Linked DNA regions of Xenopus tropicalis. The protein of the gene in region 1 interacts with the protein of each later gene in a biochemical or structural test. Links are inferred from orthologs where the notes say so. Each region holds a gene or a part of one and is shown in the gene's direction. Other genes may lie near its edges.

Region 1 (4,196 bases):
AAGGTGAGTTCTAGTTCAACAGTATGCATTAAAAATCTAAAGGGTGTCAGCACATTCTTTTTTTTTAAAGGTTGATTTTTATTTATTTTTGTGTCAGCACAATTAGCATAGTTATTGGTGATGGTTATTAGTTCAACCAGTAGCACACTCATTCAGTTCAGAGGAGATTATATTTTAATTGTGCATATATTGAGGTGCTTAGCTTAAACTACACACCTCACAGTGTGATTAAAGTGATACTGACACTAAAAAACTACTCCTCAAAATATGAATGTGTCATGCTGACTTTTTTCACTAATAGGGCTGCTTTTGTAAGTAATTGTTACTTGAAGTTCCTAAACCTGACTTTTGCCAACCTGACTGTCCCTTCTCAGACTGTCAGTTAGAGCTTCTAATGCTAACCGGCTACTTCTGCACAAATATGGCCGCCCCCTCATAGAGGAACATAGGGGTTCAGATAGGCAATGTAAAAGCATTGGGCAAATACTTTTAAGGCAAAATTATAGATAGCATGCAAAGATAATGTTATTATGGATGTAAAAAATGTTTTAATTTCTGGTGTCAGTATCTCTTTAAGTTCTTGTTATCATCCAATAAAGCACATTAGTCTCTCACCAAACTTCACATTCTGTTGTAAAGATGGATGTTATTCCCTTATGCGCGTTGAGGGGCTAGCGAGGATTCCCCACTATGCGCCTAAATAGCAATTAGGTAACATATTCACTGTGACCTGCTTAACCACAATATTCAGTCAGTTTGTTGTATAATTAGATAACAATCTCTCACACCTCTCTCCCCAACTGTTGGACTAATTTCTCCATAGGAATGAGACTGTACTTTATATATCATAAGTACTGATGTCATATACTTGCACTTTCATGGCATGTACCTCACATCAAATTAAATTTACCACGATCCTCACGTGCACCCTTATTATGCTGTTAGTTTGGCCACAAACTGATGTATGTTTTGCTGTATTAGCTTCCTCTGGGATATTAGTGTTATTATATTTACATTTTGTACATTCTTTATCATGCTATTTTGAGTATTGCCAAATAACACAATAAATGCACTTCAAGCATGTTTAATTGATATAGTGTTGGTATTAGTGTGCCCAACAATACACCACTGTTCTATTTTTTTAATTCTTGCTTAATTTGTTGCAGTTTTTTAAACAAAAATTAGGCTTACATGCTTTAGAAAACATCCCATCCACAAGATGAATTGGTCAAAAATGTTTGTTTTTGAATTATTTAGTGGGTGCGGGAGGAGGACCCACACATCATGTGTCTCCAGGAAATAAAATGTGCAGAGAAATTGCTGCCTCCAGAAATTAAGGATATGCCAGAATACCCCCACAAATACTGGGCATGTCCTGATGAAAAGGAGGGGTACAGTGGAGTGGCCATGCTCTGCAAGGACAAGCCGTTAAATGTAACATATGGCATTGGTAAGTATTCATATCCAAATAATTCTATTTTGGTTTCTTCAGTCTGTAAATATTAGTCTGTAAGAAGGCAAAGACCTGAGTGCCCTTTTTTTTTTTAATTTAAAATATAACTTACTGTTGTCCTACGCTGAAAATTGTGGGCTTCAGAAAGACTACTATGCATAACAGATAACATAAGCTCTGTTGAATACCATTGTATTTTATTACAGAGCCATTTAATTAAAATCCCTGCCATAGTACAAGATAACTTTGTTATTTGCGAAAAAGGAAAGAGAAATAGTCAGGTTTGTATAAGAAAATCAGTTTCCACACTGATTTGAAAAAAAGGATCAATAAATTTACAAGCAGTAAAATAAATATTTGTTTCCAAAACAACATTACTTCATGCAAAATTTGACATTTTTTTCAGGTAAAAGTAAACACCTTGTATTCTGGCAACAATGTTGCTTTAAAATGCTTCATTTTTGACAGCAGACAAGTTCTAGATTAACTCTATTCTCAGTTAACACATTTTGTGTTGTATACTCCTGTAGGAATTGAAGAACATGATAAGGAAGGTCGTGTAATAACAGCGGAGTTTGACTCCTTTTTCTTAATTGCTGCTTATGTCCCCAATTCGAGCCGTGGGCTAGTACGTTTAGATTATCGCCAGCGCTGGGATGTGGATTTCCGTGCCTACCTGAAGGGATTAGACAGCAAAAAGCCCTTAATATTGTGTGGTGACTTGAATGTGGCACACCAAGAGATTGACTTAAAGAACCCCAAGACAAACAAGAAGACACCGGGTTTCACCCCACAGGAACGCCAAGGCTTTGGAGAACTGCTGGCTGAGGGCTACCTGGACAGTTTCCGAGAGCTATACCCTGATAAGCCAAGTGCATACACATTCTGGACATATATGATGAATGCTAGGGCTAAAAATGTTGGCTGGAGGCTTGATTATTTTGTGCTATCTAAAGCACTACGCCCAGCTCTATGTGATAGCAAGGTCAGGAGCAAAATAATGGGCAGTGACCATTGTCCAATAACACTCCTTATGGCGATATAAAATAAATGATCAAAGGAAAACTACAAGCTGATCCTGTATGCAAGAGGATTTTGTAATATACATAAAATGCTTAGATCTGAAATATTTGAGATTCTTTTGCTGCTTCACAAATGGAATCTTGGATCAGCATTTTCTGTTTGTAATTTTATTATTCATTGCTTTTCAGACTAGAGAACTGAAACTTAACAAGAATTTGCTCTGTGACATTAAGGTTTCTAGTACTAAGGAAGACCACTGCTTCTTCATAGCACATAGACTCAAGATAGGTTTCATTTTGTTAAGCATATGAAATGCATATTGCAAAATCCTCATTTAGCTAGAAGCAATGTTTCCTGTAGTCTTAGAGAATTTTTAATCATTCAACCTAAAGACTATATAGCCATATACAAGGGCTATATAAACTGTATACACTGTAGTGAGCACCATCTCTTCAACACAGCCCCTCTATATGACAAAACTGGATTTTTTTGGTGTTAACCATCATTACAACCTTATGCCCACATGTGGGATCTGGAGAATGTAAAGGCATAACTACCTAGTCACACAATGGTTAGTGCTTAAAAAGTGCCCCTAGTGATGAAATCTAGGAACTTGTATTCCAGTCATAAGAACATGTGAAATTTGCAGTTGATATCTTTTAAGGGAGTGATTGTAAGACTAACTTCGCACCTGTTGCTCAACTATGAGTATTGAAGTTCAGCAAAAACTGGAAAGAGGTTGAAAATCTATGCCGTGGGGGCTGCACATATGCTACATTCATGTGATACTAAGAAAATGTGGGGTTCTCAGCTGTACAAAACAATGCAGTTGTAAAAGAAAATACTGAAAGGTGCTAGTTCTGTATGTGCTTTGACACTGTAAGATGTTACATATTTTTGTCATTTATTAAAAAAAAAGTTTTATAATCCACTGCATTTAATTTATTAATCTGCATAACACATGCTGCCCCCTTCCTCTTTTTGTGACCAAACGGTTATGGGGAATAATGGGAGGAGAGCTGCATAACTGGGGGTGCCAATGATGTACAAAAATAAGCATATTTTTAAACCAAGGATTGATGAAGTAAGGGTCAATATATTAATACAATATAGTGGAAAATGTTGTTCTGGTGTTTCTTTTCATTTTCTTGTTCTTTTCTTTATGATTTTTCCAGTTTTCACTCCTATATTGTTCTTTCCTGTTTTATTTATACTTTTCCTTCCTTCCCACCACTTACTCATTTATGTTCCCCTACAGATTATTCGGGCATGCATAACTCTCTGTGGTCCAACTCTGTAAAGGTTTTGATGTGTCATTACCAAAATGTTAAATTGACTTTGCTATATCTAACATCCTCTGCTACCTCCTCCCTAACTAATTCCAAAGAGTAAACCTATTGGGTTTAATTTATGTTTTTAATGATTTTTTAGCAGAGTCAAGATCTGGTAATCCAAATTATAGAAAGATCCCTTATCCAGAAAACCCCAGGTCCTGAACATTCTGGACTATACCTGTACCTTAATATGCATATACAGGGAAAGAGGAGATTGGCAGTTTCATTTATTTTGTGTATGGGGGTCCTTTGTTGACCACCCTAAACAAACAGCATTCTGATCATTCACTGTGGATAGTTACAATTTGTGTGTGGCACCCTCAAAAAATCATTTTGCACTTGCAAACTTCACCAGATTTGAAACAAAAAAGGCAATTTTGCCCCCC
Region 2 (4,591 bases), on another chromosome or scaffold:
ACAGGTTCAGCTCCAAGACCAGGCCTGTTACTTACTGGTTTAGCAAATTCTTCCTCTCTCCCAAACCACTTAACTCCTGCAAAGGCACAAAAGGCACAAGTTGGTGCTAACAGTGTGAAAATATATATATAAAGATAACCAGAAACTTAACAGAATAACAGTAGTGCTGCCCAATAAAGGATAAATATGCATACATTTAGATAGGTTTCCTTTTTTCCCTCTATTTCTTATTATTTTTTTCTATTAGGGGCTATACATTACAATTATTTCTATTTCAGTTTTCTGTAACTTTATTTGTTCAAGTCAATATTTCCTTTATATCTCCCTAGTGGAAATATCAATAGTTTCATGTTTAACTGTTTTACTGCTGGCACTTACAGTGTCTACAGCTATAAAAGTGGATGTCTTCAAAGCCAGCAACAAGGAAGGCCAGAGTTCACTGAAGTTCTCATTGTGGATGTCAACCACAGGGATTGTTAAAGAGGTCATGGTCACCTCATCTGTCTGTATGTAAGAAAGGCAAAGAGCATGTCAATCATATTCTGCAAGCAGAAAAATAATCAGGACTTATTTGTATTTTGTTGCATCTTTATATTAAAAAAATAAAACAATATCTTTGTCTGCACTATTTGATTTACATATTTACATTTTTCCAATCTGTTTTGCCTTAGTACAGGTGTCTCAAACTCGCGGCCCTCGGTATAATATTTTGTGGCCCGCACCAACGCCGAATGAATGGCTCGCGATTTTTATTGCGATTCAAGGGATAATGCAAGGCACGGCGGGCGGGAGCTGCTGACTGCGGAAATGACGTTATGCCATCATAACAGTTATTATGGGAAGACGTAAGGAGCTAATTGTGTACACAGAACGTCTTCCCATAATAACTGTTATGATGGCATAATGTCATTTCCGCAATCAGCAGCTCCCGACTTTTTTTTGTGAAATCCCTTATGCGGCCCAGCCTCATTCTGACTTTGCCTCCTGCGGCCCCCAGGTAAATTGAGTTTGAGCCCCCTGCCTTAGTACAAGTTATACTTATAACAAGCACCATTTATATATGCTCCATGAGATCTGCAAGCCAGCACAGACGGTATGAAACTGCATCGCATTCATTTGTCCCTAGCAAGCCTAATTTCTGCAACCTGGATTTGATACTGCAGCTGTATAAGATGCTTTCACCTGGGTTATGTGGAAACAAGCTAATGTGTCCTATCCATTACCCTTCGGTACAGAGTGCGCCAACATTTATATCAGTGTGTAATACACTGGGCACAAATTATTGCTGGAAAGTATTACAAAAAAAAAAAAATAACTCACTTCGATTACGAGTTATTCTGCTCTCAGGAGAAAATGCCACCTTCCCCTCTTCTTCCGGCGCATACAGATGACGTCACTCACGTGTATTCTGTTTTGCCTGTTCTATTTTGCGCGCGGGAAGAGTAGCTTAGAAATGACATTGGCCCAATCTCTGACGTCCCGACCTCCTTTGTTTATTTCTAACCTATCATATCTAAATGAGAAAGAGAGCAGGAAGAGGCCGTGTGTAAGGGCTGGAACGCATTGGGAAGCATGGGAGGTGTGCTGCTGCTGCTGTAGGAAGATTTGCAGGACTTTGGATAAGTAAAATGCCTCCACCCAGAACTAAAACCAGGTATTGGTGGACGTAGCGTTACCTTGGGGCTGCATTGGTCGTGGTTACCTCGAAAGACAATAAACAGCAATTAACAGTTTTCACATAAGACAGATAATACCATAGAGTAGGTAATACAACCTGAAAAAAGTCAGTGGGTCGCCCCCTTACACCAGATCCCCAACTTTTTTTTTTTTTTTTACCTTTAAGCCATATTCAAATGCAGGGCCGGAACTAGGGGTAGGCAAAAGAGGCAGCTGCCTACCCCTAGTGCTACTTTGTCATTGCCTCCGCCGCTTGTCATTAGCGGCGGAGGCAATGACCGATCTAATCACCTGCCCCCCCTGCACAGCCTCCTGTGCTTTGGCGCGCACGCGCCGTTCGGGGGGGCTGGGGAGTTGGCCGAAGTTGGCCGACCAGGTTGCCTAGGGCGCCCGGTTGGCTTGGCCCGCCCCTGTTCAAATGTTAAAGGACATGTAAAGCCTACATTTGCCTACAATGTATATCAGTCTCCCCCACCCAAATGGCACCATTTGTACTGCATATATCCCCCTCTGTTTGCTAGCACCCTCACATTTTCTTATAGCAAATAGCGGCTTTCACCTAGTGGCCATTTTCCCTCTGATACATAATCAAATACATTTAAATTTGCAAACACCATACACACATCAAAAATACAGGCTCACACAGGCACAACTGTCTCTGATAAAAGTTCTGCATTGTTTGAGCTGAGCTCAGGAGATGAGGTTAGGAAAATTGAAACTAGAGCTGAGTTTCTATGGGAACCAGAAATGCCATCTCTTCACTGGCTGCTAGACTGGAGGGCGTGTTTAGTAATCTGAGCTTAGAATAACTGAGCATGCCCACAAGCCAGAAATCAAAGCATTCCTGAGGGAGGGGGCCTAGTGGGTTACAGGAGGAGAAGGAAATCCAAGTGATTAAGGGGATGCTGCAGCCTTACTATTAACCTCTGGACAACCAGTATGGCAGGTATTGAAAGCTTTCAAAGAGGCTGTTGGTTAAGGAATAATTCTAAAGTTATAGTTTTCCTTTTAAATATATTGTACTGTTGCCCTAAACTGGTAAAGATGGTGTGTTTGCTTTAGAAACACTACTCTACTTCTTATAAATAATGTGCTGTGTAGCCATGGGGGCAGCCATTCAAGCTGAAATAGGGCAAAATGGCATAGGTTAAAAAGCAGATATCAGATAAACTGCTCACCTTTATACTTCACCTATCAATGTTACACAAAACATATGTTATTATTATCTCTTACACACTCCCTTCACAGTCAAAGTTAACAGCAGCTCTTCAAAAGAAAATTCTTTTTTTTTTTTTTTTTTTTGCATTCACACATAGTCAGCCAAAACATTAAGGCATTTACAAAGCATTGTATTATGCATGTGTATAAATTTCCCTAGTCTCTCCCATGATATGAATGCTTACTTTATTGTCATTTTCAAATCACATTGCTTTACTGGTGATGTGTCATTTTCTTCAATGCAGCTTGGGTAGATCAGCAGCAGCTAGCGGAAAGAGGAAATCCCCAAAGCAGGCGTTTCCAAAAAGGGAAGGTAGGTTTTATTAGAGAGTGAAAGAAAGTTTATAGTCATAGATAGTTAAATGTTTGTGAAAGCAGCTTGTGTTGGTTTGTTTTTGCAGAACATGTGCTCCAGTCCTCAATTTATCACTCCTTTACATCACAAGAAACTGAGATAATCCGAGATAAACTCCTTGCTTGGTATGACAAGTCCAAAAGAGATTTGCCATGGAGGACAATGGTAAGATATATGCTAAATGGGAGACATAATGATACAGAAGCCCTATCCAACTTTTTTTTTTTTTATAAATATTAATATTATATAACAAATTCTGTAGAGCCCTTTGGCAGTCCTTGATGCCATAAAATTTTCTTCAGTGCATGGGTCTCCCATTTACTAGCTCTGTAATACAGAATTGTTATGGGTATAAGAAGGGCACTTTCTACCTATTTGCATTCTGGATTCATTGTAAATTTAGAGGTAAAAGTGTTTCTACAGTGCCCTGATCTGTACTAGACAAAGACTACTAATTCAGTTCAAAATACTTCATTAATATATATAATATATAATGCTGATGAGACTCCACACAATGAAAAGAAGGGCATCAAACAGATGAACCACCCGTCAGATAAGGCACACAGATCCAAAAAATCTCTTGGGTCCTTCTTTTATGTACCATTACTGTTAGAGTTCTTTCTTGGCAATGAAGACCAAAAATGTGTCTATAAAAGTTTAGCAATTAGTATGGAATGTACAACCTTTAGGCATGGTTCTTATTTTGGTCTTTTATCAACCCCAGAGAAAGCAAAAGTAACTCTATAATTGGTATCTTTCAGGCTTGCACAGAACCTGATTTGGATCGAAAGGCTTATGCGGGTATGCTGAATACTGAAATTTCTCTTAATTTCTTATACACAACACTGTACACCATTGTCATTGTAGAGTCCAAACCAACACTAATAGCCAGAAATAGTAATAGTCTGTATTAGTCTTTTAATAATCATCACAATGTTTGTGTAAAAATATGTTATTAAAATAACTCAGTGCAAACAGAAAACTAAAGTTGACAAAAATATGACTTTATATGAGGAGTATTTTAGAATGAACTTAAATACTTCCTTTCAAAGTATTCACACATTTGTAGGGTTTATTATATGTGAAACCCATGTGCTATTTTTAAGTGGTTAAATAGAATAAAGCTTAGAAAATGTCTTCTTTCTATTTACAATTTCTAACAGTAAAAGGCTGAAACAAGTAAAATTGGTATGAAAGAAATGCACACAAAATCATTTGACTACAATCGCAAACCTCAGTTATGAGAAGAGAAATGTTTGGTTTCCAGACTGTTGAGCTGTCAATCATCTCACCCAGGTTATTTACAGCTCTAGTGAGCATGTAGTGAAGTTTACTTCATGT

The links.
Region 2: the proteins of apex1 (region 1) and mutyh form a complex in vitro, tested with the Homo sapiens proteins (3 studies listed by BioGRID and IntAct, with this or other methods). The link is inferred for Xenopus tropicalis from reciprocal best matches to the Homo sapiens genes APEX1 and MUTYH.

What each region holds. Positions count from the first base shown.
Region 1 is NC_030677.2:143,029,860-143,034,055, forward strand, and holds the end of apex1 (DNA-(apurinic or apyrimidinic site) lyase), read left to right. Parts: intron 1-1,257; coding exon 1,258-1,450; intron 1,451-1,983; coding exon 1,984-2,498; 3' UTR 2,499-3,600; downstream 3,601-4,196.
Region 2 is NC_030680.2:90,594,110-90,598,700, reverse strand, and holds the start of mutyh (adenine DNA glycosylase), read left to right. Parts: upstream 1-1,528; 5' UTR 1,529-1,628; coding exon 1,629-1,654; intron 1,655-3,140; coding exon 3,141-3,208; intron 3,209-3,296; coding exon 3,297-3,415; intron 3,416-4,011; coding exon 4,012-4,051; intron 4,052-4,591. Other genes in the region: toe1 (target of EGR1 protein 1), read right to left, coding at 36-76, 379-489. UniProt on the Homo sapiens protein: Involved in oxidative DNA damage repair. Initiates repair of A*oxoG to C*G by removing the inappropriately paired adenine base from the DNA backbone. Possesses both adenine and 2-OH-A DNA glycosylase activities.